Linked DNA regions of Nothobranchius furzeri. The protein of the gene in region 2 interacts with the protein of the main gene of each other region in a pairwise test. Links are inferred from orthologs where the notes say so. Each region holds a gene or a part of one and is shown on either strand. Other genes may lie near its edges. The genes, in order: creb5b, spry1, meox2a, gemin4 and hoxa1a.

Region 1 (3,511 bases), on a different chromosome or scaffold from region 2:
TGAGCGCGTCTGCATCGGCTACTTGAGCGCGTCTGCATCCGCTACGTGAGCGCGTCTGTATCCGCTATGTGAGTGCGTCTGCATCGGCTACGTGAGCGCGTCTGCATCCGCTACGTGAGTGCGTCTGCATCCGCTACGTGAGCGCGTCTGCATCCGCTACGTGAGCGCGTCTGCATCGGCTATGTGAGTGTGTCTGCATCCGCTATGTGAGTGAGTCTGCATCCGCTATGTGAGTGCGTCTGCATCCGCTATGTGAGCGCGTCTGCATCGGCTATGTGAGCGTGTCTGCATCCGCTATGTGAGCGTGTCTGCATCCGCTACGTGAGCGTGTCTGCATCCACTACGTGAGTGCGTCTGCATCCGCTATGTGAGCGCGTCTGCATCCGCTATGTGAGCGTGTCTGCATCCGCTATGTGAGTGTGTCTGCATCCGCTACGTGAGCGCGTCTGTATCCGCTACGTGAGCGCGTCTGCATCCGCTATGTGAGTGCGTCTGCATCGGCTACGTGAGCGCGTCTGCATCGGCTATGTGAGTGCGTCTGCATCCGCTATGTGAGTGCGTCTGCATCGGCTATGTGAGCGCGTCTGCATCGGCTACGTGAGCGCGTCTGTATCGGCTACTTGAGCGCGTCTGTATCCGCTATGTGAGCGCGTCTGCATCGGCTACGTGAGCGCGTCTGTATCCGCTACGTGAGTGCGTCTGCATCCGCTATGTGAGCGCGTCTGCATCGGCTACTTGAGCGCGTCTGCATCCGCTACGTGAGCGCGTCTGTATCCGCTATGTGAGTGCGTCTGCATCGGCTACGTGAGCGCGTCTGCATCCGCTACGTGAGTGCGTCTGCATCCGCTACGTGAGCGCGTCTGCATCCGCTACGTGAGCGCGTCTGCATCGGCTATGTCAGTGCGTCTGCATCCGCTATGTGAGTGAGTCTGCATCCGCTATGTGAGTGCGTCTGCATCCGCTATGTGAGCGCGTCTGCATCGGCTATGTGAGCGTGTCTGCATCCGCTATGTGAGCGTGTCTGCATCCGCTACGTGAGCGTGTCTGCATCCACTACGTGAGTGCGTCTGCATCCGCTATGTGAGCGCGTCTGCATCCGCTATGTGAGCGTGTCTGCATCCACTACGTGAGTGCGTCTGCATCCGCTAAGTGAGCGCGTCTGCATCCGCTATGTGAGCGCGTCTGCATCCGCTATGTGAGCGTGTCTGCATCCGCTATGTGAGTGTGTCTGCATCCGCTACGTGAGGGCGTCTGCATCCGCTATGTGAGTGCGTCTGCATCGGCTATGTGAGCGCGTCTGCATCCGCTATGTGAGCGTGTCTGCATCCGCTATGTGAGCGTGTCTGCATCCGCTATGTGAGCGCGTCTGCATCGGCTATGTGAGTGCGTCTGCATCCGCTATGTGAGGGCGTCTGCATCCGCTATGTGAGCGTGTCTGCATCCGCTATGTGAGTGTGTCTGCATCCGCTATGTGAGCGTGTCTGCATCCGCTATGTGAGTGTGTCTGCATCCGCTATGTGAGCGCGTCTGCATCCGCTATGTGAGCGCGTCTGCATCCGCTATGTGAGCGCGTCTGCATCGGCTATGTGAGTGCGTCTGCATCCGCTATGTGAGTGTGTCTGCATCGGCTACGTGAGCGCGTCTGCATCCGCTACATGAGCGCGTCTGCATCAGCTATGTGAGTGCTTCTGCATCGGCTATGTGAGCGCGTCTGCATCGGCTATGTGAGCGCGTCTGCATCGGCTACGTGAGCGCGTCTGCATCGGCTATGTGAGCGCGTCTGCATCGGCTATGTGAGCGAGTCTGCATCGGCTATGTGAGCGCGTCTGCATCGGCTATGTGAGCGCGTCTGCATCGGCTATGTAAGCGCTTCTGCATCGGCTATGTGAGCGCGTCTGCATCGGCTATGTGAGCGCGTCTGCATCGGCTATGTGAGTGCATCTGCCTCCGCTGAAGTTTGCACCGTTGGTATGCAATGACTGGAAGTGAGCTGAAGGCTACGCACCATATGATTTACATTACTGTAAACAGCTTGCCATAAAGGTGTCTAATGACAGACAAGAATGTGTGTGCATGCGTCACCTTGGCACACATCTGCGAGCAAAGCTGCTGGACTCTAACAGTGTTGATGCTGTCATAACTCACCTGATAACATGTTGTCATTCTTTATGCTGGGGAATTTAAGGGTCATCTCATGTTTGTGTCGATGGATCATCAGATGGTCTTCCGTGGGGAACCGCTGTTCGGTTTGGAAGAAGAAGAGGTGTGTGAGTATTATTTACACTAACGAGAAGAAACTGTCTAAAAGTCTTGAGGTACATCCCTGCTTTAGCTTCGGAAGAATCAGAATTTCTAGTAATAAATCTGGACTTTTGCTGTTAGTTTCAGCTATTTTCAGTCCAGTGCCTGAAAACGAACTGATCTGTTTTTCTGTTACTTGTTTAAGCCACTTGATCCTGACAGTGAATCGTTCAAGCGTGGGAAGCTAAACTCAAGGCATGAGCCACTGTTGCATCAACACTAAACAAGCAACTAGACAAAAATACAGTTTTAAATTAGATCAGTCTGTCACAAAGACTTCACTTGTTCCAATTTTTCTGTTGAATTTATTAAAAAAAGGTAGCGACACAGGGCCAAGACCAGGATGGTGCATTTCTCACGTCCTGGATCAACTTTTTGATTGATTTCTTTTCTCCATTTATTAAAAATACAACTTTCAGATCGTTCATCTGCTGCAGACAGTTTATTTTAGATCTAAACTTATTTTGTCCTCCATCCTTAGTGTCATGATCAAACCTAAGAACTGGACAGAAAACTAGTAAAATAACCGTCAAAGTCTATAAAAATCTTTCCAAAAACCTGGAGAACTATTGATCAAGAACACTACCAAATATTACAAGAAAGTCTGGCTGCTTGGTGGTTTCGGGCTTTGGTTTGTACCCACACTGACCTGAGAACAGCCGGGAGCGTTACACACAAACAGCCTTTCCTGGTCTGAGTTCATCCCTCTGGCCAGAGTCTCATAAAACTAGAGAAAACATAAAAAAGAAAATATGAACTGTTGTTTCCTTGAAACAGTAACTTTGAAAAAGCTTGAAAAAGTATATTTCAAATGCATTTTTACATAAAATATACGAAGTTTTGCTAAAGCATAACATGTATTCTCAATAGATTGTATAAGAACAAATATACAGTAAGAAGTACTAATCCTGTTTCGTTTAGCTAATTTAAATTAAGTCATAAATGTTTTCTCAAGAATGAACACGCTGCTCTGCACTGATCTACAATCACCAGCGAAGATGCAAATTTCTGATGCATCAAACCAGCGAAATGATTAAAGGTTTTGCTGATTTAGTTGCTAGAGTTGTGTTGAGGAACGTTCTGTAAGGTAAGCAGTGGACAGTTAGTTAAGAGTTAAATTCATTTTCAATATATAAACACAACTTTTAATCCAAATGTCCTTACAGCTCTAAACACATTTAGCTTGGTTCTTAGATCCTCTTAGATAGAA
Region 2 (4,255 bases):
TTCTCCTGGCTCTGTGGGGCCCAGCTCTCCAGTTTACAATAGACAGTGTTGGAGTTCTTGCAGCGACAGCCGGGTCGGTTAACCCGGTCATAGCAACCCTGGCACGCCTTCAGACAGCCCTTAACAGGTGGGTAGCATAGCAGACAAGGGAAGAGTACCGACATTAACCCCATGCACAGGAAACGAGAGCAGCAGTGGGAGCGCGACAGGGAGCAGGGGTGGTCAGCGCACGAATCGCCCTCATCGTCATTGGAGCAGTGGTAGAAGATGCCCTTAACAAGGCACATGCACGTGCCATGCTCAAGAGCACTTTCAGCAGAGCAGAGGCACTGACCATTACATGCCAAACATGATGGCAGGCTCCTGGGAGCCCTACAGTCACTGCACTTACACTTCCCGCAGCACTCACAGATGAACTGGTGTCCAGCAGCAGCCACCACTGAGTCACCCGAGCCAGAAAAGTCTGACTTTCCTTTGCCCTGGGGCTTTAGTGGAGCCTCTAGTGGAGGCTGGTGGAAGTGAAGTCCCTGTTGGGGATGTGAAAGGTTCTTGGGTTTAGGTTGAGTCCGAACAGGCCGGTCTGCCCTGTGGTGGTGCTGTAGATTCACGCCGGGCCTGGCGGGTGGCGAGTGTGTTAGGAGTCCCTGCTCGGAGGAGGCACTGCTGTTGCTCCCCGAGCTGGCGGCACTTCCGGTGCTGGTTGAGCGGCTGAGCCCAGGTGCTCGAGGCCCACCTTGCTGTTGTGCCCCAGACACAACCACCATGCCACCCCCAAGGTGATGATGACCTGGTGGCCGACGCTCATAATTGTTGTTCACATTGACGAGGATGACCTCATGAGTCCTCTCCTGCTTGTCCTGAGGCCTGGGGGCCATGCGGGGCACAGGGGGCCTCCGAGCCACCGATGGCCCCTCCGTGTACTCGTTACTGGAGCGGATGGCCTTGATTTGTTCCAGGGACAGAATGGCTGCATGCTCAATCTCCAACCTCTGCCCTCTCTCAAGGGAAGGCTGCTGGATCACCACTAATGAACCGCCAGGGCCATGTTGACTTTGGAGCTCCATCTGGGGGGATCACCACTTCCGACATTCACCGTGGACATGCATTGGAAAACCTGTCAAGAGATGGGGAATGGAGGCAGAGGGGGAGAAGGGGAAGACGGAAGAGACATGTCAATTTTGATTCAGTTTGGAAGCAGCCAGGGAGAAAAAGTTGACCATTAACAAGACCTTTTGTACCTTTCCTTCCCAGTACGCACACATCTAAACTTCAGTAGGCCCTACAAATACTTCCCATCCTCATTTACATTTGTATGACTAGTTAACATTTAAATGCTGCGCGGCAACGAAATGAGGACACGATCCAAGGGAGCTAAATGAGTTGCCTCACTTAGTATTCTGTCACAAGCTCGAAAAGAAGTGCAGGAAAAAACGAGGACCGGAGCACAGCTCAGAAAAATATTAGGGTCAGATCAAGATCTGACAAAAGACAGGCTGAGTTTTAAAACAACAGAATGTCGCACTGGCGTGCAATAATAAAGAAAATGCGCATTTTTTGGGAAGTCGCTGTGTCGCAACGTTCGCTGTTTACACTTAAATACGGTCAGGAACTCCAGTTTAAGCCTTCGGGGATGTTCTGAAGCAAAGTCAACCTGCAGGAGGCCAAAAGCTACACGACCGGGAAAAAAGCCCGAGGTTTGCTGCCCATTTTCTGCGTCAGATTGGCGCACCACACGTGAGACTATCCGCACAGATCACATTTAGCAGAAGTAGTGCGGGAATACAAGCCAGAGCCTATAAAACCGGAGACCAGGATTCGTTGGAGGAGGCTTCCAAACAGACAGGGGAACTTATGAATGAAAACAACCGCCGTGGGGGAGGGGTGTTTATTACAGCGCAGCCACGGAGCTACACGGGCATGGAAATCCGTCAACTAATCACCACGAATCCAACCCGCTGGCGGGCGTTTTGTTCCAAATACCCCAAAAAACATCGAAAAATGACGCGGAAAGCCGTAAAACTCAGTGCGCAACGCAACTGTGTCACCAATACGATGGGTTCCAGCTCGCTCCGTGCGCTTTTATCAGAAAACGACAGCGGGAAAAGAAAGATAAAATAGATGCTTACCTATATGCAAGCACCCATATCGCGGAATCCATCAACCAACCAGGTTACCAAAAGTCCATCCGAAATAGGAAGGTGCAATGTCCAAATGCAGGCTAGGAGGTGTAATGCATAACATTTAGTCTGTTATTCCAAACCCGAGCGTATTCCTTTTGAGGTATTCCCTTATTCTAGGTGTTTGAAAAATAGTTCATTGCCGATCAAGCGTGCATGTGTCCCAGGATGAAACGGTGTAAATCCACGGAGGAAAGAGGAGTCACCAGAGGAGCTGCTGCGTACTCCGGAGGCCGACCCCAGAACGAGTCGCGCCGCTTCAACAAGTCCTGGAGAAACTGTCAGGAAATTTTAAACCACCGGGAAAGTGTGCGTTTATATCCATACGTTTGCACCTCCTTATTGGGAAAACCGCGTTCGCCTTCTGGTCTTGTTGCGGGGAATCTGCGCTCTTCATGTGCGGCGAAGAAGTTAAAAAGTGCGTCCTTTAGGTTAGTCGGCGGTGCGCTCCCTCCAGCTCTGCGGGCCTGCTCAGCACTGAATGAATGGGAACGCAGCACTCACTGTTTGCTCGACTAACCAACTCCCATTGGCCATTCACTCGCCTGAAAAAGGATACATCGCATCCGCTCCTGATTCATTGGGCAGATGTGGAAGCATGGCCGATAGAGATATGCGCACTTGTTAAGGTGGAACGGCTTTCCACTTTGCGACGGTGCGAGGAGGGGGGCTTGTTTCCGCTCTTGTGAGTTATGGTGATCTGAAGAGGGTTATTGGGACTAATATTAATATAATAAACTCATGCATCTATGGATGGTCTGCTGCTATCAGTGCAGAAACCTAACCTGTTTTGAGTTCTTTTTTCAGACTAATTTAAATAAAAAAACATGGAAGTAGTTAAATTTCCATATAAACAACTAGTAAAAATATGACTTTCCAGTAAAACAAGTTTTGAACGAGTTTTTTTTGGCGTGCGTTTTTTCTGAGAATAGTTTTAAATACTCAGAATTAAAGCTCAAATAAGTCAAATTAGACTTGACAAATCATCACAGCTGTATTGTATTCGATAATAACCGCTGGATTAAAAACAACACAATTTGGATTATGTTTGTGCAGGGTCAAATTTGAGGAGAGCTGTTCTGAGGTGTCAGCTTGGTGCAGCAGGCCAAGAGTCGATTCTCAAGAAAAGTTTTGAACTGAAAAATACAAATTTAAGTTACTCCAAACTGATTTTTTAAGAATGAATGATAATCTGGAAAAGTTTATCAGCTTTACCAATCAAAATTTGATCAAACCTGTGGATTAAAAATGCATTTAAAATGCCAATAATAATAAAAACACTGATAATAGGAAACCGGTTTAAAAACAATATGTAAAAACAAAAAGTATGTACAAAAAGATTAATTACATTCATATCCATTTAAGTCATTTTAGGATCCATGACATAACCATTGCCACCACAAAGTTTCATGATAGATTTATTAAATCCGAAGCAAACGCGAGGTCCTGTTTTTGAACCCTGTTTTGGACAGCTCAGTCTGAAGACGTGTGTGGGGAGGAAACATCAACAGGATGTCTTCTGTCCTCTGTGGAATGTTCCCATTACGCCTGTGTGTGTAGCATCTGAGAAAATAAAATATGTGGTGGTAGCCAGATTGCGCGGATGTGAGTCTGACATGGAAGTTACGCATCACTGTATGCTGTCATGTGCGTCACTTTTGCAGAGGTTAGTTTCGGACCACCTTAACAAAAAAAGCAGCCCTGCAGCCAGGGGGAAAAAACTCTCCCCCTCCTCCCCCGCCCACACTCCTGCTTCAAACCTCCTCCTCCTCCTCTGTTCCTGACTGTCTGGTTTGATTGGTGTCGCGGATGCGCCACATCCGGATCCATGAGAAAGGAAGCTCAATACAAAGTCAATTTATCCCATTCAAATGGAAAAATCAATAGTGAATGACCCCCGGGACCATTTCGGGTCAGTAAATGCGCAAAAAAAAAAAAAAAAAAAAAAAAAAAAAAAGAGAACCAAATAGACTTTGAGGCGAGTGCAAACGTGAAGCAGAAAGGAGTGAACCAAGAATCCCGCCTCTTGGCGATGAAACAAATCCTGCGACAGATGGCCGCCAGGATCCCCGCTCGTG
Region 3 (4,305 bases), on a different chromosome or scaffold from region 2:
AGTGTTCTCATTATCAGATGTTCTGGAATACCTTTTATTGGGTGGAGCAGGTTTCATAAAACATTCAGGAAAACCTCCTTAAAGAGCTTCGTGTTTGGATCAGAGAACAGCCGAGTTCCACATGGTCCAAAGAGCAAGAAGACTAGAGCAGAATTTTAAATTAGGTTCATGTACTCTTGAATATAATTGATGAATTCATTATTATTTATAGCAATTAGACCAAGTTTCATGTGTGGATTTGATGCCCAAATCCATGTTTCTAACTAGTATTTATTTTAAAAACTATACATATAACTAAAATATTTGAATTGTATAAATAAAATAGGTTAAGAAAAATTTGTTTTGTCAACAGATTAAATTAAATAAAAAACTGAAAAGAATAAAAAAGAAACATATTCCTTAAAATATTTTATGGCCTTAAAAAATAATTCCAAGTCTTAATTAACACAAAATAAATTTATGTGCAGAATTTCTCTTTTATTAGGATTAAAACAAACCTGATTCATGCAAATAAAATACTTACTAAGGTAAAAAAAAGAGTTGTAAATAAACATTTAGTGACATCAACATAAAAAACTGCTTCAGAGGTTGGATGGATAAAAAGCAAGGGGTCTTACTAAAGAACCCTGAGGGACACCACAGGTTAAAGAAGCTGATTTATAAGAAAAATCTCTGATGTATACAGAAAAGGATCCTTCGCTCAGATAAGAGGCTAACTTATTAAAAAGGTTCCTTGAACGTTCTCAAGACGAGGGATAAAAAGTCATGACCTGCTGGATCGAGTGCAGCTGTGAGATGCTGTGATAAACAGCTCCGACACCAGAGTCAACAACAATTAGAATATCATGAATCGTCTTTAAGGGCTGGATTAAACCAGATTGAAAACCCCACACATATGGGTATGTGGTTAAAAAACTACTGGAATACAATGATCCACCTTCTCTTTTAAAAGTAAAACAGCGTAAAGGCGGGTTGTGACGTCCACAGGGTTCAGTAATCAAAAAAAAAAATCCACATTTGAATCTGTATTTGTGTATCAGTTGATTCATTCTTTATTTTAGCCGCTAAATAAAATAATAACAAAGTGTGAATTATTTGTTTACACAAAAAAATTACTCAATAGGTGACAGGAAGCCGGAGAGCATCACCGTGGCTCCCGGCTGTGGCGGTATTTGTTTAGCGATGCCGTGACGTGCTGAGTTAACCTTTGACATCTCTCCACTTCCCCTGACTCCACATCCCCTTCTTCCAGCCACACCCGTGAGACATTCACGTCGTTTTTAACACGTAAAAATCAAAAAGAAAGGGAAGATGGGCACCACAGGTCAAGTCCAAAATTAGGCTCAGCCATTTTAATAGTGTAGATTTATTATGCTGTGCTTTTAGGAGGGTGATCATATATATGTGGTCAGTAGCGCGTATGCAGTCTATGACCCAGCCTCCCTCTCACGTTACACCCTATTTATAACATCCCCTTTGCTGGCTCCCCTCGTTCTGCAGTTCCTAGGAACCTCCTGCGCTTCCAGCCTCGAGCCTCAGTCTTGTGTTCCTCCTGACATCTGAGAAGAGGTGCAGCAGCTTGTCCTGGGCTAACTGTTTATCCTGCACAGCCTGCCAGGCAGACGCATGCTCTGGATTACCACAGGACACCAGTCTCAGAGCACTTTTTGCTCTCCACGCTGACTTTTTGATTACTGTGCTTTAAGGGGAACACAGAAAAGGTTTTGGGAAAGTCTCTTGGATATGTGCGTGTGATCTTTCTTTGTTTCCTGGTGATTTAGTAACTTCATCCCCGTTACCTGCTCGTCTCACCTGTACTGGAGGTCTCCTCACCCCATGGATCACACGCTGTTCGGATGCCTGCGGAGCCCCCATGTCCCGGGTCAGGCCCTGCATCCTGCCTTCACCCAGTCCCCCCTGACTCTTCATGGACGCTCAGATCACATCACCTACCCCGACCTGGCCTCTTCATCCTCCTCCTCCTCCACATCTTCCCCTTCGCCCTGTGTCATCTCCAGCTACTCGACTGATGATGGCCTGTTTACCCACCACCACCACCACCACCACCACCGGAGTCACCTGCCTTCCCAGCAGCATCACCAACAACCTCAGCATCACGCATCTTGGCACATCCCACAGATGCCGTCACCTGGCGGCGGCAGTGTGCGTCACGGCCTCTGCCACCCGCATTCCCTCTCGTCCCACGAGAATGTTCCCACACCTCCGGACCTGGGCCACCCCGGGGCACCCAGTATGTGCGCCAGCACCCCGACGCTGGGCAATGACAGTACCCCCACGGGGGCCTCCTGCGTACCCTCAGACTTTGGCAGACAGACTCTGTCACCTGCCGAGGCTGAGAAGAGGAGCAACAAGAGGAAAAGTGACAGTTCAGGTAAGAAGAGATGAGATGATCCTAGAGAGGGAGTTTAATTCTATTATTTCACAAGACCGCCCACACGCAGACTAAAAGTGAATCAGCATTTTTAAAAATGACCACAAACATCTGTACAAGTTGGCGGGATTCTGGGAAATCCACAGCTGTGATAGAAAAACCAAAAATCAGTTTGTAGGCGTCGGCTGACACGCAGCGACGCTGCAGGCGTACGGCGGCGCTGAGCAAAGGCCACGCTGCGACTGCACGGGCACATCTGACTGCTGGCACGCTTTGTGTAAAACTAACATCTGGTTTGTTGCGACGCTCTTCAGAGGGCAGAAAACAAGGTGCACAGTTAAGAATTGATGTCATGGATTGTAAAAGGCAACACCGGCGCCTCGTGCTGCACTTAACGCCTCACTGAGGCAAACATGTCAGGTCTTTTCTTCTTTCTGAATCTTGTGGTGAAAATAAATCACTGGAACGAAGCGGGAAACATAAGGAGTCACGATGATCTAAGAAGGCAAACTTTTAAATAAATGAGCACACTGGAAAGAAAAATCTCAAACAGCATGTTATTATTTTAATAATTAAAACAGTGATCAAATGTTTTACTAATTTACCAACAAATATAGTTTAACTTAAAAAATGATCTGCTTTGTAGCGCTGCTTTTGAGTTTAATTTAACAACTTTAGCCCGTGTCCCCTCAAAACCCTAACCCTAAATTACGTTTGAATCAAGCTGAACCAAAGAATCACACAAATACCACAAAAGCAGATTTGACTAAATGTGTACCGACTGAGATCACCTGCTGGATGACCTGCAGACACCCACCGAAATAATCAATCACTGCCTGACAAACGTCTGGGTTTAGGTCACGGGAGTCCTGGCAGGGAAGCTGATATCGCTGAGAGTTTCAAGGAAACGTGTGCTCGCCGTTCCCTCAGTCCTTTTGTGGATGGCAGAGCTTCAGCGCCGATCTTGCATCCTTTTAAAGGCCTCTGTTGTCACATCTCAGATTTTCTCATATGGGATTATAATTTTGATTCCAACAGTTTATAAATAAATGTTTGTAAATTTTATTTTAGAATAAGCCTTTGTTGGGTTTATTAGCCCCGCCCCGAAACACGACTGGAAATAATTTGATTTATAATTCACAGTCAGTCCAGATGTGATGGAATTGGAAGAAAATTGGAAAAATCATTGCAACACAATAAAAACAAAATGACGAAGCCTAATTTATTTAGTTGTTCCGAGTTAAACGTCCAGTTATCCAAATGGAAAATGTTGCAATCGCATATTTCATCAATGCGCTGCTTAAAAAATTTTTCTTCTCTCCGTTTGAAATCCCCGGAAAACCGAAATCCTGCCTTTGCTGCTGCGTCAGATGAGCTATGCATTCTCGCCACAGCAACACCAATCATACTGATTATGGAGGCTAACGACACTGCTGACTCAGTCAGCTGTCTAAATATCAGACCGCTCGCTGCCTTCTGCATGAGATAGAGCCTGGCTTGGATTCCAGCATCTGGACCAGGAGCTCGAAGGAAACCTGAATTTAGCAACAGAAATAAAAACAAAACCTGAGAACTTATTTCCATGTTCAGTTTTTACCTCCTTTCTCCTCCAATATGGATCAGTTTTCTGCTTTTGCTACCAGGTTGTGACTGTTTCCTGATGCCAGGCTGCAGGCTCAGTTAATGAGCTGAGTCAGGGAGTCTGGTTTCTGCTTGGGTTTGGGGTTTTTTGTGGGTCTTGTGAGGAAAGGGTGTCTTTGCTGAGTTGATAGTGCTGCGGAGGGAGTGGTCGTCCTTTAAAAAGTTCAGAGTTTTCTGACAGAAACAATAAAAGATGCTTTTTTGGATGAGGTGTTGTTATAAAAAGTGCAAGCGTGAGGTGCCAGAGTCTTCTCGCTGGCACTAAGAGTCGC
Region 4 (4,208 bases), on a different chromosome or scaffold from region 2:
AGCAAGCTCAGCACCGACTCCAGCAGCTCCTTGGTGTCCATGGAGCTCAGGTGGTCGCTGTCCTCCGACGACCGCTCCCAGCACCTAACAGAGATCAGATGAGTAGAAGCCCAACAACAACCGCTGCACACACACACACACACGGGATCATACACACATGAGAGTCTGGTTGTACTGCTGGGCCAGAATATAGAGGAGGGGGAAGGGAGAGCAGTCCAACACCCAGTGAGGGGAGGGGGCTACTTCCTGGACACCCACAGCCAAAGCAGCGTGGAGGAGCTGCAGACTCAGTTCTGCATCGCAGGACTCTTCAGCTGCAGAAACACAGATGGGACAGCAGCAGAATGTGACGAGCGTTTACAGATCACACACAGATGAGATTAAAGCCAGCATGGACCCCGACCTGCAGCTGAGAGGCGAGGCAGGACCAGTGTGTTGACCACCTCCTGTGGAGACAAGAACCTCTGTGTCTCTTGCTCTCCCTGGAGCGTCGGGCCCGGCGCCATGAGCAGAGACAGGAACTTGAGGAGCTGCTCCTTTTCACAGGCGGACAGTGGCTTGCCTCTGACCGCCGTCTGTAAACACCTACAGAACAGACTACCACGCCCTCCAGCTTCCTGCTGCTCCACATCGTTTCCGTTTGCCTCATCCTCCCCTCCCCTCCGTCCGCGGAGTCCAGGCAGCTGCTGCAGGATCTTTGCCATGAGGCTGAAGGCTCCCCTGTTGAAAACGGCGGCGTGGCAGCAGGACCTTAAAGCCGCCTCTGGGCTCTGAAAGGCCACTCGAGCTACCAGAGAGGCTGCTGTGGTCAGGCGGCCCTGGGACACTGCTGCTGAGGCCCCGCCCCCTCCCTGGATAAGGCAGTTAAAGGCCATGTTCAGCTCTTGCTCAAAGCCGTCTGCCACAGCCGAGGGGACAGAGCAGCCAAAGAAGCCCCTGCTGGAGCGGCTCGGTACTGCAGCGAGGACCTTGTTCTGGTTTTCTAACGAAAGAGCAGAGAAGACATCTGCAGCCGTTTTAATGGCTCTCCTGCACCAGGTGGTGTTCACGTTCCCACGCTGCAGGCGACTCACGAGGGTGGAGGAGAGGCTGATGAGGGTGTTGGGCTGCGTGAAGGCCGTGTGGTTCTTCTCCAGGCAGTCCACCCACAGCTCTTCATGAGTCCAGGACAACTGGCTGGCAAACAGCGCAGCAAACTCCTCACAGTCCTCCAGGCGGTGACTGATGACGGTGGCAGCGACCTGAGCCTGCACCTGAGGGGGGGTCTCTACGGCAGGAAGAGACAGTGAACTCAGCAGACCTCTGAGTGTGCTCTTCTCAGTCACATGCTCAGATGTTCCCGTTTCTTCTAGAGCTGCCAGGACTCTCTGGACGCTCTGCTGCAGCAGGAACGCGGAGCAGCCAGGAGCGCTCAGGAGATCCTGTTCCAGCCAGAATTCTGTGAGTTCTGCTACGATCTTCAAAGCTTGGCTCAGCGTCATCCTGCTGGGCTGAAAAGGAGCTGGTGAGTGAGCAGCACGCAGGTCTCTCAGAGCCTCCTGAAGGAGTTTGGGGCTCCACGCCTGCGTCTGTCCTCTGGTGTCAACAAGCCTACAGAGGATGAGCAACTTCTCTTCAACTGGAAGCACAACCTCTGGGTCTGTTAGGAAGGATGTGTAAAGAGCGTCGAGGCAGACTAACAGGGACTGCAGGCACAAATCTGTAGTAGATACTTGATCTTTCATGTTCTTAAGAGCATGGAGGAGAACGTGCAGAACGTCTGTGTTTGCTGACGATGCAGGAAGGTCCAGCTTTAAGCGTTTTGCAGCCTGAGGCGAGACACTGGGACAATCGGAGGACAGGCGTGCAAACTGGCTGACAAACATCATCTCTAAGTCTTTGTCTTCCTGCGTCTGACATTTGTCTCTGCCTTTCCACAGCTCCCACCACACCTCCAACAGAAAGCAGACGTCTTCAGGACTGGGATCCGTCCTCAGATGCTCTGCCAGCGTTTGCAGCTCGGTGCAGATCTGCTGCTGAGGCAGACGCAGGAGCAAGCGGGCAAAGACCGGCGCAGCTGAGAGTGACTTCACCAGCTCCAGCAGAACAGCCCGGCTTACGTCAGGGAGGCCGTTCTGGAGGCAGAAGAAAGGGTTGTCCCTCCACCCCTTCTCCACATCTTCCTCAGCCTCACTGCTCATCAGCTTCAACCACACCACACAAACAACCTTCTTCTGCCAGGCCAGAGCGCTCAGCCCACAGGTGTCTCTGAGGGCCTGCAGGATCGGGAGCTTCACACGACTCCAGTCCGCCTTCTGCATCAGGGACAGGGATGAGGGGAGGCACAGTTTGTCTGCCTGGAGGAAAGCTCCCTGGAGCACGGCGGAATCTGAAAAACAGGCAAGCAACAGGCTGAGACCCGAGCTGGGCCGAGATCAGCGTTATCCAGGTGTGTGTGTGTGTGTGTGTGTGTGTGTGTGTGTGTGTGTGTGTGTGCGTGTGTGTGTGTGTGTGTGTGTGTGTGTGTGTGTGTGTGTGTGTGTGTGTGAAGGGGGGGCAGGCTGCAGGTGAAGCAGGTCCAGAACGAACGACTGGCTAGGAGAGGGCTCTTCAAACCTGCAGCTTGCTGCTTCAGCCTGAGCGTTTAGCGCCATGTTCGTCTCTACCGACTGGAGACGAAGCTCGCGCAAGTTCACGAGACATGTCTAACATTAATAATTACCTTTGTCCATGGCTGCGGAGGCAGGAACATACACCCGCCCGCCTCGTGAACCAGTTCGTTACCAGGAAAGGCGCTTCCGGTTTCCAGCAGGAAGCCGGGCTGCTGTCAGGTGGCGAGGCGTCCCCACAGCGCCACCCCTGGATAGATACGGTACTGCAGCCGCATTAACCCAGCAAACCGCCAAACCTGCTTCACCTTGTTGTTATTGTTGTTGTTGTTGTTGTTTTCCTCGCCTTTTCTGTTGGATTGTTGACTGGTTTGTTTTTACTGTTGCGAGGTTTTGCGTTGTTGACTAGACACCGCGTTCACCAGTGCTGCCGCCAGACCGGAACACCGGTTCAGCCCTACGTGTGATGGTTTAAACGTTACTCGCTTTTAGTGACATTTAAAAGTGTTTTGCAGTATTTCTCCTTGTGAAACTGTCTCTGCTCGTCACGTGATGCAGCTGCATGCAAAGCAGGTTTTTTTTCGTTGTAAATGAAAGCGAAAGTGTTCTGAGAATAAATGTGCAGCTGAATGAAGCAGGAACAAGGATCAGTAGATCTGATGAATAACCATGGTTCCACCCTGCAGGATTCTTATTTACGGTTTTATCTGGACAGGTAAGTCTTCAGAAGGCTTGTATCCCTGCGAGTGTGGGGACAGTTTGTGTTTTTGGAGGAAGCCCACTCGGATCAGCTGCTTTGAGTTGTTGGTCTGTCTCCAGGGGTCTACTGTAGCCAGCAGATACTATGGCTGCCCTGTCACTTCACAGATGAACAGGTGATTATGAACAATGAAGGACATAGAGAGACCCAGCGGATCCCCAGAAATGCTGTGCTGCAGTTTGGTCAGACAGGAGAAGCTCCTGTAGATCTACGCACCATCACTTTTCAGGTCACAGGTAAGCCACCTGACACAGGTCACCATTACACACCTGACAACGGTTGCACCTTACTCTTCTGTGTTCTGCTGCAGGGTCCAAGGTGGACATGCGGCACTATGTGGAGGGAGTGGAGGCAGAACAGCTGGAGTGTGAGCTGCGTAGATACAGCACACAGGGCATCTATGTCCACTGGCCCAGTCAGAAGGCCAGGGAGTACAACCACTGGTTCTCCGTCTCTCTCAAACACAACCAGGGCCTTTTCACTGTGCTCGGCTTCCTCAGACACCCGTCTGACCAGCCTCCACCAGGAAAGCAGGACTACCTCAGCTGGGTTCCCATCACTGATGGACAGATGCTCACTACATCAGGTCAGTTAGTTTCACTCCATAATGCCAACAGCTCCAGTTCTGGTTCTTTGATGGTGTTTCTCTGTGTTCTGTCTTTGTCCATCTGGTCTCACAGTTGCCATGGTAATGAAAACAGAAACACCACTGGTGAAAACCAGCCTGAGATCTGAACAAAAGCTCCACTGCCAGTTTAGTGTGGACCACCGGGGAGCAAACACCACTGTGGAGTGGCACTGGCAACGCCGCGGGGAGAGGACCCGACTGTTCAGCCACACCGGACGCTCCAGGCAGGGAT
Region 5 (4,071 bases), on a different chromosome or scaffold from region 2:
CCTGCGCTGCATACCCGCCATGACCCGGATACACCACTTTACATTTGTTTTCGTTTGCAGACTCGTGTCTGCCTTTTTTTGCTCACGTTACAGATCAAACTTATCTGAAGATACAGAGATGTTCTTGCAGACACATTGCACAATTTAAACCTAAAGCTCCAGGGTGATCCAAAAGCTCCCGGATGGAGGACTAACTTTAATAAATGTTCACACAATGTCATTCACGAACAAAGACTCTGGTTTTGATACATTTAAACGTTGGTATTTACAGGCCCGTGTGGCCCAGATAGGCTGCTCAGGTAGAGGTGTACGTGTCCGTGCCAGTGGAGGACACCGTGGATGAGCTGGGAGAGGGCGTGGACGGCGCTGAGACGGACCTCTCAGAAGCGGCATCGTCTAATTTCTCTTGATTTATTTCTTCCGGGTGCGATGACTGGACCTTAGCCGGCAGCATCCCCTCTTTCTCGCGCTTTTTCTGCTTCATCCTCCGATTCTGAAACCAAATCTTCACCTGAGTCTCATTCAGCTGCAGCGCAGCAGCAATCTCCACTCGGCGCGCCCGGGTCAGGTATTTGTTGAAGTGGAATTCTTTTTCCAGCTCTGTCAGCTGCTTGGTGGTGAAGTTGGTCCGGACGATGTTTGGCTGGCCCGCATAGCCGTACTCGCCGGAGCGACCTGGGGACAGGAAGAGGGATTCAAGTTTATTTTCTCACCCAAAGGACGCACAAACTGTGCGATTATCCAAAAGAACCAACTTTTACGCAGCAGGCAAAGAAAACCTAATTATTTTACATATAAAACACACTCTATAGTTAAAGACAAATGTCTTTAAACCAACTTTTAAAAGAAAGGGGCGCACGCTTGAAGTGGAAACATGGACATTTAATGCGTTTGCGCGTCAACGCGCTCGCAGTGTCAACATCTCCTGTGTGGATTCCAGTCTGCTTGACCGATTAAAACCAATTAAAACCAATAATAGCAACAGACTAGATTCCCACCTATCTCCCTCGTGCTGGTACAGCTCTGCACCCACCTGTTTTCGGTGGATTTCTTTTGACTTTCATCCAGTCGAAAGTCTGCGCAGAAGATGCGCTCTCTGACAGAGGTGAGCAGCAAGCTTCCAGGTGAGCTGCATGCAGAGGTGACAGCGGGTTGGAGGCCCCAGGATAAGAAGGTGCCTGTTCATGACCCCCGCCATAAGCAGCATACTGCAGCTGGCCCAAGGTGGCAGCACTGTAGCCATGGCGATGCTGAGACACCATGGAGGAAGAGATGTTACCTGAAAACATCAAAGGGCTGCACTGGGGGAATGCAGGTGCAGAGTCTACTTCCTGGTTGAGTGTGTAGTGGTTGTACGTGGCGCAGAAACTTTGGGGCCCATAGTTAGAGCCACAGGCCGGGTGGGCCCCATAGGAGAGACCCATAGAGGTGGCAGTAGGCTGGTAAGAGGCCGGCTGGTGAGGGATGCTGTCAGGGGAAGTCCTGTTTGCCATGAAGTGCTCATCCGCCCCGCAGCTGCTGATTGCAGCCCCGCAGGACTGGAAAGTTGTAATCCCGTGGTCCGAGTGGAAAGCCCTGATCGAACATGAGCCACCCTCACCGCTCATCACCGAGTAATCTAGGAAGCTGCTCATTGTAGCATCGTTAGTCTGGGACCAGGAGACTGTCCTCTCCCCCTCTGATCTCTCCACACTCTCACCCTAAAGTGACCGTGCCAACCTTTACCTTTCTGTCCCTATCAGTGCAGGGAGGGGGGTGCTGGGGATATCAATGAACGGGCACTGTCACGTGGGCACGGGTCAGCCAGTGAGGGTCCTTGTCCCTTTAGCCGGTGACAGATTGGTGTTTGAGGGGCTATTTAAATTCCAGGCGCTCGTCGATCAAGGTGACGCGCGTCGCCACTAATGTATTGGCCGAGCAAACAATGGGCTGGGAGGCAGACGGAGGTGGACAGCTCCGGGACACACGAGGAGCTGCTGAGACGGTGAACCCGGTGTCTTTTAACCCCCCTGCTGCGCAATCTCACACTGAGGAGAGATGTCATCCAAGGTGGACCGCTCTGCACTCTGACCTCAGGTATTTTTAGAACAGAGAAGTGTGAGTCTGTGTGCGTGCGCGCGTGTGTTGGCGTCTCCGTGCGTATAAGCCCTGGTGTCGCATGTGTCATTCTGTCCAGGAAGGATGGATGGCTGAGAGTGCGCGCGCTCGCTGCAGCCGCGGGCTATCTTTAGGCTATTAATGTCCCATTCCGATGTGAAATGTTTCACGCTGGAACATTAAGGGATTTTCTGGGCAAATATTGTTACAATGTGATGGAGAGGACGTGTTTCCCCTGTTAAATACATCCATCCCATCGCACCAAGCCACCTTCCAGCAGAATTTCGTTTCCTCTTAAGGTCGCAGCAGGAGCAGGTTTGTGCATTTCACGTTACGAGGAGAGATGATCCGGTCATATATTCATAAAACACCGCAAAAGGATGCGCAAAAAGCTCAAATTACGTTTAAAATGTGCCTGAAGTAGCGCACAAACGTGATTAGGAGACAAAACCATTAAGGTGATGTGATATTAATGTTTTGTTCCGTTCTCGGGTCATAGGTCAGCCATCTACCAGAGTTCCAGTCCCGCATGTATTCATTATGCATGTATGGTGATCAAATGATATAATAATGCGAAGCCTGCTAATGCGCATATGTAGCCCGAGGTGCGAGTGGGCTGATTATCCTGTTAAGTTCATCAAATAAAGCTGCTGGGAAAACGAATGGTCACGGGAGGCGCGAGAGCGGAGGGGAGTGAGGGGGTTGTAGCAGATGCCCAACCTCTAACCGAGGAAGGAATAGAGGAGAGGGAGGGAGGGAGGGCGAAGGGAAGGATCAGATGGAGGGATGAGCGCCCCCTCAGGCTGAAGATAGACATGCACTTAAATAAACGTGCTTCTGTTATTAAGTAGATTAATTCAGCTCAGAAAAGCGTGATTCAGATTTTACACTCTATTTATTTTTCCTACAAACGTCTAAGTTGTCTCACTGGTACTCAAACAAGCAGTATCAGTAAAATATTAGCAACATTCAAATGTGCAGCTTTTTTCCATTAGTCAAATGTAGTTCTACTTTGTCTTAAATGTAATGTTTTAGGATGTTAGAAAAACAAAATTAGATGTGAAAATGTTCAAAGACTTGTTGCAAACTACATAGCAGAGGGAGGGAGAGAGAGAGAGAGAGAGAGAGAGAGAGAGAGAGAGAGAGAGAGAGAGAGAGAGAGAGAGAGAGAGAGAGAGAGAGAGAGAGAGAGAGAGAGAGAGAGAGAGAGAGAGAGAGAGAGACGAACTGGTTTCCATTCCACCCCCACCCCTCTCCAGCAGCTGCCTCTGTAGTGAGTGGGCGCGGAGGATCCATCGCGTCTCTGCTGCTTGAGGCCAGCCGGGCCCCGCGGAGATTCCGCGGCTCTTTGTGTGGCCGCGGGGGCGCAGAAAAGGCGCGCTGTCTCGGAATGATTTGGTTATGCAGGCCCGTAGTGCAGGAGAGCAGCATCTGCCCCCTGCTTCCTCCTACCACCCCCTCATCTGAACACACGCGCGCGCGCGCGCACACACACACACCCACACACGCACACAGCCAAAGTTAGAGCTGATTTTCTGCTTTCGGCTAAGTTTGACACGTTTTGAAAAATCACTGCAGCTTTCATCTCAACTGGTGTTTTTTAGTGATTCTGAGTTAAACTGGATTATTGAGTTCCCATAAATCCAATCAAAGCTGCGCAAGAGTGCTAAAATGTTCATAATCCCTTTATTGAAGTGAGGGGTTTGAAACGCACACAAACCAGTCTTGTCTTTAAATAAAAAAAATCACAGATTCCACCAGTGTGAGTGGAGAAGCGACGCTAAATAAGAGCAGCTTTAACCTGAGCTGCTGCTGCTGCTGTCTCCGAGTCAGAGCCGCGTGTTAAACAAGCCATAAAAATGAATTATTACCAAACGCACGCAGAGAGCTCGGCCCCTTTTAGCTTAGGAATCGGGGAGTCCCGCATGAAAACGTAAGTGGGGTTTTTATTTGTGCACATTACGCCACAATTGC

Evidence for each region.
Region 1: the proteins of spry1 (region 2) and creb5b interact in binary tests that used the Homo sapiens proteins (3 or more experiments, as listed by UniProt). The two-hybrid records come from large-scale screens. The link is inferred for Nothobranchius furzeri from reciprocal best matches to the Homo sapiens genes SPRY1 and CREB5.
Region 3: the proteins of spry1 (region 2) and meox2a interact in binary tests that used the Homo sapiens proteins (3 or more experiments, as listed by UniProt). The two-hybrid records come from large-scale screens. The link is inferred for Nothobranchius furzeri from reciprocal best matches to the Homo sapiens genes SPRY1 and MEOX2.
Region 4: the proteins of spry1 (region 2) and gemin4 interact in binary tests that used the Homo sapiens proteins (3 or more experiments, as listed by UniProt). The link is inferred for Nothobranchius furzeri from reciprocal best matches to the Homo sapiens genes SPRY1 and GEMIN4.
Region 5: the proteins of spry1 (region 2) and hoxa1a interact in binary tests that used the Homo sapiens proteins (3 or more experiments, as listed by UniProt). The two-hybrid records come from large-scale screens. The link is inferred for Nothobranchius furzeri from reciprocal best matches to the Homo sapiens genes SPRY1 and HOXA1.

The regions. Positions count from the first base shown.
Region 1 is NC_091745.1:35,742,132-35,745,642, reverse strand, and holds part of creb5b (cyclic AMP-responsive element-binding protein 5), read right to left. Parts: intron 3,029-3,511; coding exon 2,951-3,028; intron 2,240-2,950; coding exon 2,146-2,239; intron 1-2,145. UniProt on the Homo sapiens protein: Binds to the cAMP response element and activates transcription.
Region 2 is NC_091741.1:72,820,591-72,824,845, forward strand, and holds the start of spry1 (protein sprouty homolog 1), read right to left. Parts: upstream 2,804-4,255; 5' UTR 2,127-2,803; intron 2,091-2,126; exon of another isoform or gene 1,239-2,090; intron 1,115-1,238; 5' UTR 1,065-1,114; coding exon 1-1,064. UniProt on the Homo sapiens protein: Inhibits fibroblast growth factor (FGF)-induced retinal lens fiber differentiation, probably by inhibiting FGF-mediated phosphorylation of ERK1/2. Inhibits TGFB-induced epithelial-to-mesenchymal transition in lens epithelial cells.
Region 3 is NC_091745.1:64,691,377-64,695,681, reverse strand, and holds the start of meox2a (homeobox protein MOX-2), read left to right. Parts: upstream 1-1,497; 5' UTR 1,498-1,836; coding exon 1,837-2,392; intron 2,393-4,305. UniProt on the Homo sapiens protein: Mesodermal transcription factor that plays a key role in somitogenesis and somitogenesis and limb muscle differentiation. Required during limb development for normal appendicular muscle formation and for the normal regulation of myogenic genes.
Region 4 is NC_091753.1:62,515,958-62,520,165, reverse strand, and holds the start of gemin4 (gem-associated protein 4), read right to left. Parts: upstream 2,808-4,208; 5' UTR 2,712-2,807; coding exon 2,702-2,711; intron 2,369-2,701; coding exon 404-2,368; intron 315-403; coding exon 158-314; intron 85-157; coding exon 1-84. Other genes in the region: dhrs13b.2 (tapasin-related protein), read left to right, coding at 3,258-3,303, 3,408-3,584, 3,659-3,934, 4,029-4,208. UniProt on the Homo sapiens protein: The SMN complex catalyzes the assembly of small nuclear ribonucleoproteins (snRNPs), the building blocks of the spliceosome, and thereby plays an important role in the splicing of cellular pre-mRNAs.
Region 5 is NC_091751.1:29,552,114-29,556,184, forward strand, and holds the start of hoxa1a (homeobox protein Hox-A1a), read right to left. Parts: upstream 2,803-4,071; 5' UTR 1,635-2,802; coding exon 1,034-1,634; intron 676-1,033; coding exon 296-675; 3' UTR 1-295. UniProt on the Homo sapiens protein: Sequence-specific transcription factor. Regulates multiple developmental processes including brainstem, inner and outer ear, abducens nerve and cardiovascular development and morphogenesis as well as cognition and behavior.